Linked DNA regions of Drosophila melanogaster. The protein of the gene in region 3 interacts with the protein of the main gene of each other region in a pairwise test. Each region holds a gene or a part of one and is shown on either strand. Other genes may lie near its edges. The genes, in order: Acam, Syb, unc-13 and CG15198.

Region 1 (3,667 bases), on a different chromosome or scaffold from region 3:
AATTATCCAAATCCCCCAAAGGTCTGTTGCCATTTCGATTGCGGCTCGGCTGTTGCTATATCGTCCTGTTTATGCCTGATTAAAGTCAAACAACAAACATATTCTGAGCTGCATTTACCAGACAATCGTATAAACATATACACATGTGGTCATCAGAATAGAATTTATTAGTTGGGAGATCTACAAATCTGCCAATTATTTTAAGCAAATTGTTTTTACTCTCCTTTAACGCAAACAACTTTTATTTATTTAGTTAGTAGCCCTAATTAATATATTACCTGCTAAGTAATACTTGGAACTATTGTTTTCCATACAAATATATAATCCCGCATCTCTGGCCCGAAAAGTCCTCTCTAATCTATGCAGAGAAATGCTTGACAGTGCCTTGTTGTGTGGCTCAACTTTGGCCCCAATCCTAAATCCTTTGTGTCCTTCGTGGCCAGGATTTGCTTCTCATTACCAAGAAGCCCCCATTGTTCGCTCCACTGGGAGGAGCACGTGTGAGAAAGGTTGATGGCCAGGGACATGGGTTTGTGCAGTTTGGTTCTCGCCTTCTCCGCTCCCAAATTATGCAAATTGCTCGAAATTTTGCATTGGATAATTTCCCTATTTGCCCGTAATGCTCAATAAAAAAAAAAAAAATACAAACACAAAAAACATTTTATGACCCAAGAGACCAACGATGGCAGCAAATGGCTGAGCAGAAAAAATACTGAACAGTTGTATAAATGCACCAACAAAAATAAAAATAATATAAAAACAGAACAAACTGCGACGCATTTAATTAAAAATGTAATTACCCATGCTTTTCAACAGCCACATTGCTCGAAGCGGTAGCCAGAGGCTATGAAAACATTATTCGGAAAATTGTTGCAAATTTAATTGTTAAATCCTGCTATATTTTACTGCGGTGTTACTGCATCACGGAGCAGTTGTAGTTTTTTCCATTTCACAAATTTATCTTACTGAAAATGAGTTTAAGAACCATGTCAGAAAAGAGCGTGGGGCAACTAACAAAAAAAAAATTTTAAAAAACTAACTAGTAATCTTTTGTTGTCAATGCCTTGAATTTTCCACAATTTCAGTCTAAATGGAAAACTGTCAATGAAAAGACAATATTTAAACACAACTATTTTCGAAAAACTAAATTTTAAAATTCATCTTTTCGGGAAATCCAAATTTTAGCCCAAGGTATACTTACAATTTGCCATGGATGACTTTGATTTCAGTAGTCCACCTCCGGAGGTACGAACAGTTCATACCCACACGCTGAATGATGAACAGCTCAAGGATTGTGAGGCGGCCTTCGCCCTCTTCGACGACGATAATGCCAAGGTCATTCCGATCAAGTTATTGAGAGATTGCCTGCGAGCCGTGGCCCACAACCCGCCGGAAAACGAGATACAGGATTATATAACCGAAATTGATACGGATGGATCCGGCGAGCTTTATCTCAGTGATTTCCTATACATCATGTCGAAACGGTACGAGAATTTGACCGTCGAAGATGAAGTTATCCTCGCTTTCAAAGTCTTCGACAAAGATGGATCTGGCTTTATACACGAGAATGAGTTCCGTCAGATAATGACTGAATATGGCGATGAAATGGAAGAGGACGAGATCGAGGAAATGATACGTGATGCCGACGCCAACACGGAACTGAAAATCGACTACGTTCGCTTTGTGACCATGATGATGGAGACGTAACACTCTCTTTGAAAAATAAAAAACATAACCGATTGTAGATCTAATCAATAAATTTCAAAAGCATGGCCAATGGAATCGAAGATCTTGAAATATCGGATACCACCAGTTTGGACTATTCTTTAAAAAAAAAAAAAAGCCAATATACAATAGATAAAATGATAACAAGAGTAGGCTTTTCTTGTTATTAAATTATAAATATGAAGTTGTGAACTAAAGTTTGTCGAAAATTTGTAGTGAGTGTTCAGTGACCCCAAAATTTTCCCACCCCCAACCCCTTCCTTTGGCCATGGATTTCGAATTCCTTACTCCGCCGCCAGAGGAACGGACCATTCGCACCCACAATCTGACCGAAGAACAGGTCAAGGATTTGGAGATTGCCTTTTCCCTGTTTGACGACCAAGACACTAAGGTTATTCCTATAACAAATCTCAGGCAACTAATGCTGTCTGTGGCCCACTATCCCAGTGATATGGAATTGCAGGAAATTCAGGCCGAGATCGATGCTGATGGATCCGGTGAGTTATATCTCAGCGATTTCCTTCACATCATGTCTCAGAGGTACGCAAACATGTCTACCGAGGATGAAATTATAGCTGCATTCAGAGTCTTTGACAAAGAAGGAACCGGCTTAATATCTGAATCGGAATTTCGTCACATAATGCAGAACATGGGGGAGCAATTGACGGATGATGAGGTGGAGGAGATCATCCGTGATGCAAATTCTGATTTGGAAGGCAATATAGACTATGTGCGATTTGTCAGAATGATGTCCACTACATAAGGAAAAAGCAGGCTTTAGGGGTTGGGAACCCGACCTGTCAGTATCAGTATCATCAAAACAGTTTCGGCTCATTCCCTTTCGTAAATTCCAACAGTCTATAGCTCTGCAAGCATTTAAAAATATCTCGATAAATACCGAAAATCTTTGAAAATTTATCAAGATGTCCGAACTAACGGAGGAGCAGATTGCCGAGTTCAAGGATGCCTTTGTCCAGTTCGACAAGGAGGGAACCGGCAAGATCGCCACCCGTGAGCTGGGCACATTGATGCGCACCTTGGGCCAGAATCCAACGGAGGCCGAGTTGCAAGATTTGATAGCTGAGGCCGAGAACAACAACAATGGCCAACTGAACTTCACTGAGTTCTGCGGTATAATGGCCAAGCAAATGCGGGAAACTGACACTGAGGAGGAAATGCGTGAGGCATTCAAGATTTTTGATCGTGATGGCGATGGCTTTATATCACCAGCTGAGCTTCGCTTTGTGATGATCAATCTGGGCGAAAAGGTCACCGACGAGGAGATCGATGAGATGATTCGCGAGGCTGATTTTGATGGGGATGGCATGATCAACTACGAGGAATTCGTATGGATGATAAGCCAGAAGTAGTACAGCTACTTTAAATGAAATAAAAATATTTGGGGTCACTGCATAAAAAAAATCGTGTATTTCTCTTCAAAAAATACAATTTACACTTCTCTGCGGTCTAACTATTTTCGAACACTTTTTAATACGCCCCCAATTATTTCAATTATATTTTTGCGGTGTGCTAGTTTTTCCTTTGCCTAATTCGGAGACCGAGAATTTTTCAAGCATGTCCTGCTCTTAAAAATGTTTGATGAAGGCACCCCATTTCGGTAATTGTGGTTGGTTTAAGGAATTTTCGCCTCGCCTTCTTCAGGTGAAAACTTTCAGCATGAAACACTCGACGTGGTTTTAGTCCGCCTTTTCGTTTCCCTGGCAAGTGGTTTTTGCTTCCACATGCGGCACCTTTGTGGCCAGACGAACAATTTTCCTGTTGCTTAAATTCAATTTGCTTATGCATTAAAATTAAATTTTACTGTGGCCTCAGCGGGCCCGGCTCGTACTCCTTGCTGGAAGCAACCTCTTGGGGTCTTTGGGGCTTGTGTCTGACTTTATAAATATTTCGTGTGTGTTGTGTACGCGCATGTATGAATTTT
Region 2 (5,521 bases), on a different chromosome or scaffold from region 3:
CTTCGCTGGGCAAGGGCTTGCCCTGCAGTGAGTACACCACATGCGGATTGTACAGGCTAAATACGACGGGGTAGTAGACCTAAGCGTTGAAAATAGATGTTAATGTATTAGTAATTTAAATAATAGCAGATATATTTACCTTCTTTCCAGGCGCTGCATTCCAGCGACAACGCTCCAGGAACTTGGTCGTGAACATAATGTCCACGTCGCACATGAAGAGCAGCACGTCCTCCTCAGCGGGTTGAATGTGCTCCGCTCCCAGTCTTAAAGCTTTGGCTATAAGCAAAATGGCTATTATTAACTACCAATATTATTTGTAATGCATTATAAACTTGCATATGTATTATGAACGAAACAAATGTAATATTAATAAACGAAACCCGTGCTTACCCCTACTGAAAGTCTCATTGAGTGCCAAAAACTGAGTCCTTTGGGATCGTCCAGCCAGGCTCCTAGCTTGCTCCAATCCACTGGTTCCAAAGTACACCACAATAAGCTCCAGGCGACGATCCTCTAGCTTGGCGAACATCTGCAGGAAGCCGCGAAAGCTGTGCAGACGTCCAGCCAGCGGTAGTATCACGTGGATTATGGGCGGACTATGACTTGGAGGGGCACCACTATTATCCACACTGGAAGATAGCTCCGATAGCTGCACCGTTTGCAGAGGAGCAAATGGTCGCATGACCAGGGCTCTCCGCACTGGACTCGCCTGGTGCTTGACACTCTGGAAGTACAGCTCGTACTGGGTGCCTGTGGTGGGTTCGTTGCGGTATATGCCCTCGATAAAGTCATCCAGGGTGTATTTGATCACATCCGAGGCGTAAGCCGCTGCAGAACCAGCTCCCTTGGCTCGTATTCTCGCTGAGTGATTCCTGTTCAGGCTCTCCAGCGCCTTGTTTACCGCCTCGATGAGGTCACGTCGTCGATAACCGATGGGCTTCTCCACCACGCGCTTTCCCAGGCCCAAGTCGATGGGATATACTCGCGTGAAGGTGAAGTGATTGTAGGGTATCAGCTCGTACTCGTTGTTCAGCGGCAGTCCATGCAGAATTTCTGCGGCGCCCACCTGCTTGCGAATATAGCTGCTGCAGTCGTAATGGTGACCCAGTGGTGCAGTTGGTGGCCCCGCGGTGGTTTCTTGCAATTGAAGACTGCCATTTGATGGCTTGGCAGTGCTGCGATTATTCTGTAGAAAGAGGATTTGAGTGCGGAGAGCCAGGACTTCCTGTTTCAGCCGCTCAATTTCCGCCTCTCGTTCGCTTAAGGTGTAACTGAATCCGCTGGATTCACTCGGATTATTGGCTTGAGTTTCCCTCGTCGTCAGTTCATCGAATCCGCACTTTGTGAGCACCACAATGGAGGCGCCGGTCAACAAGGCGAAGAGCAGCAAAAGCCGCAGCAGCAACTTGGTCACCAGGGAGTTATGCATTTTCCATAGTTTCTTACAAAATTTTCAACCTATTGAAAATAATAAAATAATTAGTTATCTAAGTGCAATAGTAAAATGCAAACACACATTTGAGACTGTAAAAAAAACTAGTAACGAATTATCACAAATTTTATACATTGCTGTGGAATTCTACATTTTTATTACATATTATACATGTACATGGCTCGGTAGAACAGTTTATTGGTTTTTGTCTCTGCTATTTAGGCAACAGTGCGTTATTAATAATTTTCGCTGATCTTTTGTAAAAGTATTAAAGATAAATCAGTTAAGAGCAAACAAAAATTTCATTTTGGCTTGCGGCACTGGTAATTTAAGTAATAAAATAAGATACAATAATATAAGACATTGATTTGAAATCAAACATCATCTGCAAGGAACTAAAGAAAAATGGAATGCAAGTGCTTGTTAACAATAATTTGTGCGCCGATACACATACTAAATATACCAATTCATGTTTTTTATAAGCTAGATAAGTATTATCTTTTTATATTTGCAAGGGGTTTTCAGGAAACATCGATAGTATCGATAAGGTATCGGGCTTGGTTCCAGCTCTAATAGTTCAACGGTCACACTGATCACAAGCTGATATTTCTATAAAAAAAAATAGTGCTATTTAAAAAGCAGCCGCAGTTTTCCGTGGAAAACCCGAAATACACAGCAGTATTCTACAGGCACATTGTCAAGGTGAGTGCTCGGGGGTGGTGGGTGGTTGGGGGTGGCGTTCCACCCATGTAAACAGCGTTTGTTGGCAGTGCGGCATGCAACAAGTTCTTTTTTCGAGCAAAGGTGATGGCATTCCTATAAATCGAGTGATTCATAGGCCGAATAGATAAGGCGTGTGCTGCGTTTTGTTTTCTTTTCTTTTCGGCCCTGTAATCTAAACAATTTCGGGTGTGTGTGTGTGATGGAACATGCATTCTCCCCATTTAAAGAACCAGACATCCAATAAAGGCCTTTCTCTGCTTCGCTTTCTTTCCGCAGCAAATTCACAATGGAGAACAACGAAGCCCCCTCCCCCTCGGGATCCAACAACAACGAGTAAGTGGTGGAAATCCATCGAATCAACAGGCTCAGCGCACAAAAGCAAGGAAAATCCCATACAGTGACGTCACCTGAGTCATATGGGCCACAGCGAACCGGAAGTAAAGTCTTCGGACTTCACTTTCGGACATTGGAATACCGTAAACGTCATGCTGCTGCCCAAGCGGTAGCTTCAGTTGTAGTTTGAAATCAATTAGGGTCATTAAAAGCATTCAGTTAAGTTGAGATATTGTAAAGTCAGTTGCTATCTTAGATGGAATATTAATGTGAAATGGCAAATTAACTCGAATAACAAAAAAGTATTAATTATATTCGATTCTAAATTGTAAAACATTTGCAAGTAGCTTATAATCAGAAACAGAATTTGCTTATTAATCACTTTATCGCAAATGGTAACTGAACATACTTAAGTATGTTTCATTTAACATCTATGAAAAACAAATGAATATTACTCATTTTATATTTTTTTTTGTCAATGGAATTTCAACAGCACTTGAGATTGTGAAGTTTTATTAGTCTATCCGAATTTAAGAAGAAAGAAAGTATTTATAGGACACAAGTCCCATTATTAAAACGTGAAAGGTGAATTGGCATAGATAACGATGGCATGATATACCAAGACTCGTGCTTTTGTGCGTTGCAGCTTGATGATCCATCTGCTGCTCTTAATAAGTGTAAGCAACCCCCACAAACACACATAATATTGTACAGTTTTCCCATACTTCCGCCACCGCCGAACGCGAATGACAACTACAATCAATTCGGTGACCATCAAATCAGGAACAACAATGCAGCCCAGAAGAAGCTGCAGCAGACCCAAGCCAAGGTGGACGAGGTGGTCGGGATTATGCGTGTGAACGTGGAGAAGGTCCTGGAGCGGGACCAGAAGCTATCGGAACTGGGCGAGCGTGCGGATCAGCTGGAGCAGGGAGCATCCCAGTTCGAGCAGCAGGCCGGCAAGCTGAAGCGCAAGCAATGGTGGGCCAACATGAAGATGATGATCATTCTGGGCGTGATAGCCGTTGTGCTGCTCATCATCGTTCTGGGTAAGCTAACCGATTTTATACCGCTTCGGCTTTTTGCCTCTTGCTGGTGCTTCTTTCTGGTTGCGGTTTTTCTCGATCAGGCTAAAGATCAGTAGTGTAGCTAGGTGGCTGGTTTGGTTTGGTATTGTTATATCTATAACGCAAGTCGACGCCCTGCAAACGCCCTAATCTTGCTCAACCTGTGGTTTCGGTCCTAACAACTTGTCCATGTGGCTTGCAGCTAACTAATCCAATAACAGATACTCCTACTCGTACTGATGACAACCCCTTGTGAATTTCTGTTTACTTGCAGTGTCGCTTTTCAATTGATACAATTAAACACACACTCACAGAAAAACAAAAGCAAAGCCAACAAAAATCATGTAATTCCGTTTCCCAATCAGCAAAGTTAAGGTTCAGATTAATCGTTTAACACGTTTGTGTACGTGTACTGGCTCCTACTATATACTCCTTAAATTGTTTATTATATTTTATAAAAGTCTTAAGCTAAGCAACTCTAAAGCTCTAAAGGTAATTGTTGTTCTTGTGCCTGTCCTAAGTGTTAATTATCGTTATATTTGTTTAGTCTGTAGTGTGCGAAGATTAGAACCTCCATGTCATACGTGTGTAGACTATAAAGTTCATACATATGTATATAGCTTCAGCAAAGCTATTAAGAAGTTAAAAATGGTTATATCTACAGTGCAATGTTGGGGCTAGGGCTCTGTTCTATGGAGAAATTTCATTTTAAAAAGTCATTTCGATTTTATTCAAATTAAACTCGCGTAAAAAGTATTAAATAAGAATGACAATACGAAATCCGTGCTGACATCGAAAGGTATGTAAGATAGTAAGCGGGAAGATAAAATCTGACTTTAAAAGTTGTTAATTAATAAATAACTGAAGAAATCTTTCGTCAACAAAACGCTCAGTACAATGTGCTGGGTGGTTAGAACTTTTACTTAAAAAGACCGCGATTTCATTTAAATGCGAGATAGGATATGAAATCCTTTTCATATCTCGTTGAATTGATATAAACATAGCTCTAATATCTGCGTATTTCCCTTTTTAGTGTCCGTTTGGCCGTCTAGTAGTGACAGCGGCAGTGGTGGAGGAAACAAGGCCATCACCCAAGCACCGCCGCACTAAAGGCCTCCTAGGGAGTGAGGTAAACACATGGATACGAAATGGAAAAGGACCAAACAAACACAACTGGGACGGAAACCTTTCTGGTCTTTTCGCGCAATGAGAGAAGGGGAGATGAAGAAAATCAAAAGGATAACTTACTAAAATTGCGTCTAGCATATATTTAACCAGAATGTAATTATTAAATCTTAATGTTAAACTTAACATTTTTACGTGTCGTAGCCGAGACCAGAGGTCCCATTAATGTGTATTGCATTATATACAATTATATATACGTGTATATCATCCAATTGAAAATACATCATGCCACCTACACTTTAACCGGACCCATCAAGTCCACCGAAGTTTTATGGAAACGTTTCGCGGACAGAGCCATTTATTTACATTCAGCGTTTTTGCTTAAGATGCGCGTGCCATGGAAACAGTTATCGATTTTCCGGCAAACCGAATCGAAACAAGACGACAGCAGTCGCGGGCACCCAGACAAACTTGCCCCATCGACATCGAGGCACTGACCAATTGCCGCAGGAACTGAATCGTCTCGCATAAACATTCTGTCCCAGCTGTTCCGATAGTCCACGCATGCGTTCCACTCATTCGATGTTCTTCCGATAGAACAGGTACACGAATATATCATGAATGTCCGCGCGCCATCCCATCAATTCTATAAACGAGGCTGTCGTCCACACATAGCCCATATATAGGGCAAAAAAGTTGAGGTAGTACAGCTGGCCGATCAGTATGTAGTCCCCGGTCGACTCCTGGCGGTAGAAGTTCGGCTTTCGCATGGAAGCGCCAAAGACTATGACAAACTGTGGGCAAAATTGGAGGAATACTGTGTCGTTATTTTAAAAATGGG
Region 3 (4,608 bases):
ATTTCTTAATAAATGTGCACTAAAACTGCTATCATTAGAATTATGGGATGGATTAAGGCTGTGAAATGTGGTCATATTTGCGTGTGAATTATCTATTTTAAAGTCATCCAATGAGCTGCCAACTAATTTTTTTAGAGTGTCAATATTTTTTTTTAACTTTTTTATTACCAGAACAAACTTTTCATTTGTGTTTGAAATGCAAAGCCTTTGCAGTTCTTCAGTAACAGTTAACGGATTAAGTAACAGCAAAGTCAACTTTTTATCGACCAGACTAATTTTTTGAAAAAACCTTTCTTCCGACCATACGGCATTTTGTAACTGACTCAATTGCGTTGCACTCAATGATTGTAACCCTTTAATTTTATTTATTTCCCCCAATAAAGTCTGTATTACGTTGTTTAACATTTTTCGTATATCATCTTTTAAATAACTGGTACTAATATGGTTGTCTGATTTATTTTCCGTTTCAGTTTGTTTTACACATGCATCTGAAAGTTTCGAACCCAATTCTTCAATGTCTCTCTTAATAATCTCTGTTGATTGTGCTTGTGCAAGGATACACTTTAGTTTATTAATCATATCCATTTCGTTTGTATGATGTTTTTTTTTTCTGTGCTTTCTTGGTTCTTTGTTCAAATGTTGGTTTGGCTCTGTTACGAGACACGCCTTTGCAGTCTGTAAAGGTTGTGTACCTGTAATAGCATTCACCCTCTGATTATTTAAAACTGGGGAAGAAGTTGACTGGTTTCGGATAAATGAGATGTGGTCATGTGTGGCCTCAGACTGATGTAGCAATGCATCAACCTTAAATATCTCAGAGCTCAATTCATTGTCTCGATAAGCCTCGTTTAGATTTTTATAAAAAGATTCGTCTACTTCATTAATATTAGCTGGACTTTCTGTTCCTCCAGTGTCTTCAATGGGTAAAACCTGATTTCCACCCTCGCCTGTTTTAGAGGCTGCTATTTGAAAAAAATTATTACTACTAGGGCTGACAAGTTCACAGGTTGACCGTCTCACGTATGTATCATCTATCTCACTTAACAGTGGTTCTCTAGGCTTTACAAGATTTTTATCCTTCTCAGAACTTTTTGACAATGCACCCGAGGATGCCGAAATCTCATTTAAAACTCGACGTCCATTTAAAAATTCTTTCATTAATTCGGCACGCGCGCTATTTGCTAGAAACTGCTGCCTCTCATATAACATAAGGTCAGAATCTGAGTAAAGTTTAGTTCTTGATTCCTTGTATGCTTCAAAATCCGATTGATTACCTTTTTGTTTTGGCTCGTAGCCTTTTTCAAAACCAAATTTTATTATCCCAATGTCTAAGTTTTTGCCATTGAAATCAATGTTTTCAAAATTTGGATGGGAATCTATTGCGTAAGCGGAATTCATAAGGTCTTCCGATTTAGTAGCTTGCGTATGTTTTGTTACAAAAGTTTTTTCATGATTTTCAAAAGTAAGATTCTTATCAAAGTCACGATTAGATGATTGGATATCTATATCTAATGTGTCTTCCATTTCCAACGGTAGCAATTGATCTTCATCTTGATATAAGGGTACTTTCATTCTTTCGATATCCACTTTTTGAAGTTCTTTTTTTGATGCGCCGATAAGATCCACAAGGTTGCCAACGACAGACTGTTGTTCTATTGATATGTTTTCAAGCTTTTCCAAACGAATCCAAATCTTTCCGTACTCCGTAGAAAGCAAATCCAATGCACGCCAAGCAAACTTCAGCTCTGTCTCGAGTAAACTGATCCTTGTTGCAATTTTATCCATATAATCGGAGATAATGTAGTCAGAGTGTTGCTCCGAATTGTAGCTCTGACACAACTGTTGTTCACTTTTAATCGATATCATACTTTCATTAGTATTTATGCTTGGATAACTTAAGTAAGAGAAATCCAATCCATTGGGCGACTTACTCATCGGTGGTTGCATTTCCGGTATTTGTGCTTTGGCAAGGTCAAAATCCATGTTGTGTTGGATAGAATTAAGGTGCCCCTGGCTTAAGAGCGGAGCTCTTACTGATCCGGCAGCAGAAGAGCTCAATAGTGACGACGCATAAATCGTTGATTGTTGCTGAAGTCGTAACTGCTCCTTTATTTTAATCTGGCTTTTGAGGGCATTTTCTGCAAAGATAAGCTTTTCCTGGGTGTTTATTTTGAGTTCCTTTTTAAGCAACTGACTTTTTTTTTCCGTATCCCCGGTCACTTGCAGCTGAGATGTGTTCATCATACCGTTAATTAGGGTTTTATTCGATGGATTAGTTTTGTTTTTACCTAAATAATTTTGTTTTTAAAATGTGTTTTAATGCTCTGTGTGGAATACATACGTTTATTTCAAAAGCCAATTTCGTCTGTAATACTGAATTGTTATATACATATGTACCTAAACAGCGTTAAGTGGTTGACGACAAAAAAAATACACATAACTATTAAAATTAGGTTCTTGTACTATGTATGTATGTGTATTTCAAAACGTATTTAGATAAAACCCGGTCTTAATTTCACTTCTAAGCACACTCAAAGTAAATAAAAATGCTTTTTAAATATGACCTATATTAGTTGTAACAAAATACACATGTGTCTGTTTGAAATTTACTTCAACTAAAAAACTTGTGCAATTAATTAACTAGTACCAAATGTGGTTTAATATTGGTAGGTTTTTCAATTATGCTTGTATGTACTGTAAAGGGGATCCTAAAATGGATGCGTTTATTAATTATTTGGTATCTGGGCTTAAGAGCGATTCCAGCTTTTTTTCTTTTTTATAAAAACAAAACTGTTTTATAGTCTTTCTGTGCACAAAATTATGTATATGCAATTTTTAACTAAAAGGCCTAAGCTTTTTTATCTGGCTTTCTTAATGTAAACGGTTTGAAACCACTACGAACAATTATTTGTGCTCTGCTAAGAATTAAAAAAACGTTGAAATTCACAGTACAATTTAGTAAATTCTTTGTTGCGCCTAGCTCCGTTTTCATGAAGCTACCAGCAAGTAAGCTTTGCGCGGATGACAGTTACACACTTAGAACTTTAGTTTTTAGTACACCATTGAAAAGCTTATGTATACAGAAAAAAGTCAAGTGTGGGTAAGACGGGAAAAATGTAAGAGAATATTTTTCTATCTATTGCGCATGCCTTAACCATTCTCTGTCAAACGCTCTTAAAGTTTTTGTAATAAACTGAACTTACTCCTTTTTTTATAATGTCACATCTAAGACCATTTATTAACCGTTTACAATTCGTAAACGGTTAACAGGTTTTCAGAATAATTACATCGAACGATTTTGTTAAGAGTTGCCTCGAAATATGTCAAATTAAGACCATTCAAATTAAAAGCTTTAGTCGTACTCCCTAATCAATTTTGAATAATTTTCAGGGGCAATACATTGCGTTATGTCAGAATTGTCTCAAGATCAAGTCCAATGGAATTCCCTTAAAAAGGAAATGACAAACATTAAATATTTAAGAACAATTTTGAAAGCTTTAGTCGAAAGTTTTGACTGTGACATGCCCATTGCTCAAGAAATGCGAGGAACTGTTTCCGTTATTTATCGAGCATCAATTTGCGGTCGTTACATGAATTGTTTAAAAGTTTTGAGTTAATGTTGCCATTCATTGAAACAGATATGAAATTTCTAAGATAAAACGGCGGTGTCTTATTTATACCGTTACAAAATCCTAAATTTGTTAGATTTGTGTTTATAAAATATATGGTGGTTATCAATTAGCAATAGGTCAGGGTGGACGATAAGCGTACTGGCGAAGCAAAGAAATAAAAATACTAGTAAAGGAAAGGCAACGAAAAAAACAACCAATACTTAAAAAAATTATATTCAGGAGAAAAATTATGTTTTTGGCGAATTTGTTAATATGAAAATTTTGTTTTTTTTTTTGTCTGTCTGCTCAATCCTAGTATGCATTTATTTATGTTTAAGTGCTTGACAGACAATACCACTTTTCGTAAAACCCTTAAAGCTGTATATACTTTAAAATTCCTTAAATTCGTCAATACATTTTCGTTAAAAAATTGTTAGGCAGCCAAAACAGCTTTTTACCCAACGAAAGAAGAAGTGGAAAAAATAACTGTTTAGGGTTTAAAAATAGAAGCATTGAACTGATCCTTGTCTGTTGTCAAAAGTATTTACACACAATTTTTACGCGTCAAAATTATTTACATACAGCTTTTTTAATTGTTTTTTGCGTTTTTTTTTCGTGGAGAACAGTCTATTTCCTGAGGTGAATGCGTGCTCATTTAAGATATGGAGGTATCCTGTTTGATTTATTGTACCCTCTATCGGTACCATGTCTCCAAATCCAAAGTAGCTTAAACAGCCCCAGAACATCACCGTGCCACCACCAAATCGATTGATTAGCTGGACGGCATTCAACCTTTAGTTTTTTTGGGAAATGCATAAATTTCTTGCTAAAGGATCTCTGAAACTGAAACCCAATTTCATCAGTCCATAAAACATCAAACCAGAACTCGATAGGCTTCTCTTTATACTCCAAGGCAAATGAGAGACGTTTTTCATAGGAGTTGATGTCAACTTCCTTCATTCTGCGACGCAGTGTACTATATGTTTTCCAATTAAAT
Region 4 (2,799 bases), on a different chromosome or scaffold from region 3:
CCCTCTTTCCTTACAAGAAATTATCTAGCTCAAAACTAGAAGCTTAGGAAAATGCATGAAATGCCCAAGTGGATGCAGTTGCTCCTCTTACAAAAGCTGCCTTACCATTCTGTGTGGTGCTGCCTTGGAAGAGGTTCCGCAGATACGTGATCAGCCGCCGGTGGAGCGGTCGATGCCGATGGCGCGATGATTTCCTATGCGAGGAGGAGGACTCCTGACCGCCACCGCCCTGCTCCACATCTTCCACGTCCAGGGTGGAGACAATCGCTGCCCCCGAGCCCGCTGCACCCGAACCCGGACCACTGGCCACCAGCTCCTTGCCGCACTGACTGGCGTCCACAATAATCTCGATGCTGCGTTGCGTGCTGGACTTTTTAATGCCCAATGCCGCCGTGGAGCAACTGCTGCCGGAGGGACCACCACCGCCACCGCCGGAGTTAATGGTGCTGATGAGGGCATCTGTGACACTGGATCCGGTGCCAGCGATGCTGCTCACCGTCTGGTGATGCATCTGCTGCTGCTGCTGGTGCTGCTGGACCGCTCGACCTGTGAGCAGGTGATGCTGGGCGCTCGAGGGCAGCTCGTTGACGGTGCCATTGCTGTGGCTTCCACGATAGATGAGCTCCGTTTCGTTGCTCACCTGGCGCAGGGCATGCAGTCCGGTGTGCGATGCACTGCTTGACATTCCGGCGGAGGATCCACCACCTGCGCCGCCGCCTCCAGCTCCTCCTCCTCCTCCGCCGCCGCCGCTGCCGGAACCACCATTTAGACCCGTGTAGTAGGCGCTATTCGGTCGCTGGCTGTGCTGCACCTGTGGCCCGGCCATAATGTTTCTCTCAGTGTATGTTATGTACTGCTGGAGCGGCTAGAGTTCCACCTCCTTCTGCTGCTCCTGTTCCTGCTCCCGATCCTCTCTAGCGGCTGGCTTTAATTGTCGCTGGCTGGTTTTAGTGGTTTTAGTAGCATATTGGACAGTTACATGGTTACGGCGGTCACTTTGTTAGGCAGATTGGGGTTAAGCGGTGCCGCATCTGCGAGAAGCGAGTAAAATCGAGCAGAATATATATGTTAGTTCCGATACTAAGGCATTTAGGTCTCTAAACCGATCAATTTCTTTAATTTAATTTCATTTGGGAATTAATTAGTTTCCCAAAAACAGTACAAACAAACTGTACCAAATGCTTTCGAAGCTGGGTACTTTATCGTGTTCCCATATTATTTTCTAATTATCTTAATTTGATCGGAATAGAGTAAATAACAAAGAAAACTATTTCCAGGAATTTCCATTTATTCCATTTGCCAGCAGCGTTGCATTGTTAGTATGCGTGCATGCGTATGTGTGTGCGTGTGTGTGCGTATGTGAATTATAAAGCTGTTGTAAGCGCACTTGTTAGCCCATTTTAATCCTATTTACTAAATGATACACTAAACTAGACAATTGCCTTCTCAGTAAATTGCGGCTAACTAAGTTGCCAATGCACATCGATTGAGATGCTAACGCACATTGTAACCTATTAAATTTATGCAAAATATTACAACTAAATTAAACATTTGTTATCCCAAGTAAGTAGGCCTCGCAATGAAACTCGCATAGATAAAACCATCCGTGTGGTTGACTTTTGTTCAGTATTGGGGCAAACCTTACACCGAACAGTTCGGAAAACTAGCCAAAAAAAAAAAAATTCAAAATTTTTCCGTGTGAATAACTCCGTGTTTTTCCACATTTTCTACCTTTGCCGTTTAAACGTTGCTGCGCTCACCATCACCATGAAAACCCTCGAGTCCGACGACAAACCCTTCAATCCCTTCTACATTGGCCCACATCCCAGCAAGGCGTGTGCCATTCCCGAGATTCCCGGCCAGCAATGCTCACCCAACTGTCAGCCAACTACTACGACCACCAATGGTTCTCCAACGGATGCAACGGATCCCAACAGTTTGCCCAGCGGAGCTGCGGGCGGCATGGTAATCGTGGCCAACATATATAGCACCGTCGAGGTCCTGGCCGCCGCCGCTCGTATGGGCGGAGCAGCGGGCACTGGAGGGGATCAGGGTGCGTCGTCTTCCAACAACACCACATGCAAGCCGTATCCCTGCATGGAGGGCGCTCGCATCGATGGTCCTGGCTGTGGTTAGAACCAGAGGAAGTTCACATTGGATCAGAAAGCTTTATCTACCAACTGGCTATTTGAATAGGCTAACTCGCAACACCAAGCTAGCCCCAAATACAAAAATAAAAGGCCCAGAAAAATAATCCATTCGTATTTTTTCTATAGTCTGTCGAAAAATGATCAGTCTTTTTCCTACAGCAATGTAAATAGTTGTCCAAATATGGAATGCCATACCTCGTTGAACTCGTCATAAAATTGTCTTTCGAATGGCATTCACAGTTAAAAATGTAATTTTTTTTCAATTTTTCGCAAAAAATGATGATGTTACCCCTTATAAAAAATCTGAAAATTTGAAAAAAATCAATTTTTTCAAATTAACAAAACGGTTACAGAAATCGTTTATTTGGATCATTAGCTGTATAAAACAGTAATTTTTTTGAATAAGTGACCATTTTTGGCCAAGTTATAGCAAACTGAATTCTTCGAAAAAATCATCATTTTGCCAAAATGAAACACCAATTTTTCAACAAAATATAATCATTATTTTGTTCATAGCAATAAAGTTATTTATCCAAACATGGAATGCCATACCTCGTTGAACTCGTCATAAAATTGTCTTTCGAATGGCATTCACAGTTAAAAATGTAATTTTTTTTCAATTTTTCGCAAAAAATGATGATGTTACCCC

The links.
Region 1: the proteins of unc-13 (region 3) and Acam interact in a two-hybrid assay, tested with the Drosophila melanogaster proteins (one large-scale study listed by BioGRID).
Region 2: the proteins of unc-13 (region 3) and Syb interact in a two-hybrid assay, tested with the Drosophila melanogaster proteins (one large-scale study listed by BioGRID).
Region 4: the proteins of unc-13 (region 3) and CG15198 interact in a two-hybrid assay, tested with the Drosophila melanogaster proteins (one large-scale study listed by BioGRID).

The regions. Positions count from the first base shown.
Region 1 is NT_033777.3:25,809,996-25,813,662, forward strand, and holds Acam (androcam), read left to right. Parts: upstream 1-1,915; 5' UTR 1,916-1,993; coding exon of another isoform or gene 1,994-2,488; 5' UTR 2,489-2,648; coding exon 2,649-3,095; 3' UTR 3,096-3,139; downstream 3,140-3,667. Other genes in the region: CG5024 (uncharacterized protein), read left to right, coding at 1,210-1,707; CG17770 (uncharacterized protein), read left to right, coding at 1,994-2,488. UniProt on the Drosophila melanogaster protein: May be involved in calcium-mediated signal transduction.
Region 2 is NT_033778.4:10,248,895-10,254,415, reverse strand, and holds Syb (synaptobrevin), read left to right. Parts: upstream 1-1,998; 5' UTR 1,999-2,134; intron 2,135-2,243; exon of another isoform or gene 2,244-2,341; intron 2,342-2,431; 5' UTR 2,432-2,441; coding exon 2,442-2,488; intron 2,489-3,202; coding exon 3,203-3,537; intron 3,538-3,829; coding exon of another isoform or gene 3,830-3,846; exon of another isoform or gene 3,847-4,047; intron 4,048-4,588; coding exon 4,589-4,665; 3' UTR 4,666-4,981; downstream 4,982-5,521. Other genes in the region: Csgalnact (chondroitin sulfate N-acetylgalactosaminyltransferase), read right to left, coding at 1-79, 140-276, 391-1,429; CG12914 (uncharacterized protein), read right to left, coding at 5,256-5,474. UniProt on the Drosophila melanogaster protein: Involved in the targeting and/or fusion of transport vesicles to their target membrane.
Region 3 is NC_004353.4:890,553-895,160, forward strand, and holds the start of unc-13 (unc-13), read right to left. Parts: upstream 3,014-4,608; 5' UTR 2,953-3,013; intron 2,398-2,952; 5' UTR 2,342-2,397; intron 2,289-2,341; 5' UTR 2,245-2,288; coding exon 1-2,244.
Region 4 is NC_004354.4:11,246,642-11,249,440, forward strand, and holds CG15198 (uncharacterized protein), read left to right. Parts: upstream 1-1,594; 5' UTR 1,595-1,767; coding exon 1,768-2,136; 3' UTR 2,137-2,244; downstream 2,245-2,799. Other genes in the region: CG44422 (uncharacterized protein), read right to left, coding at 106-826.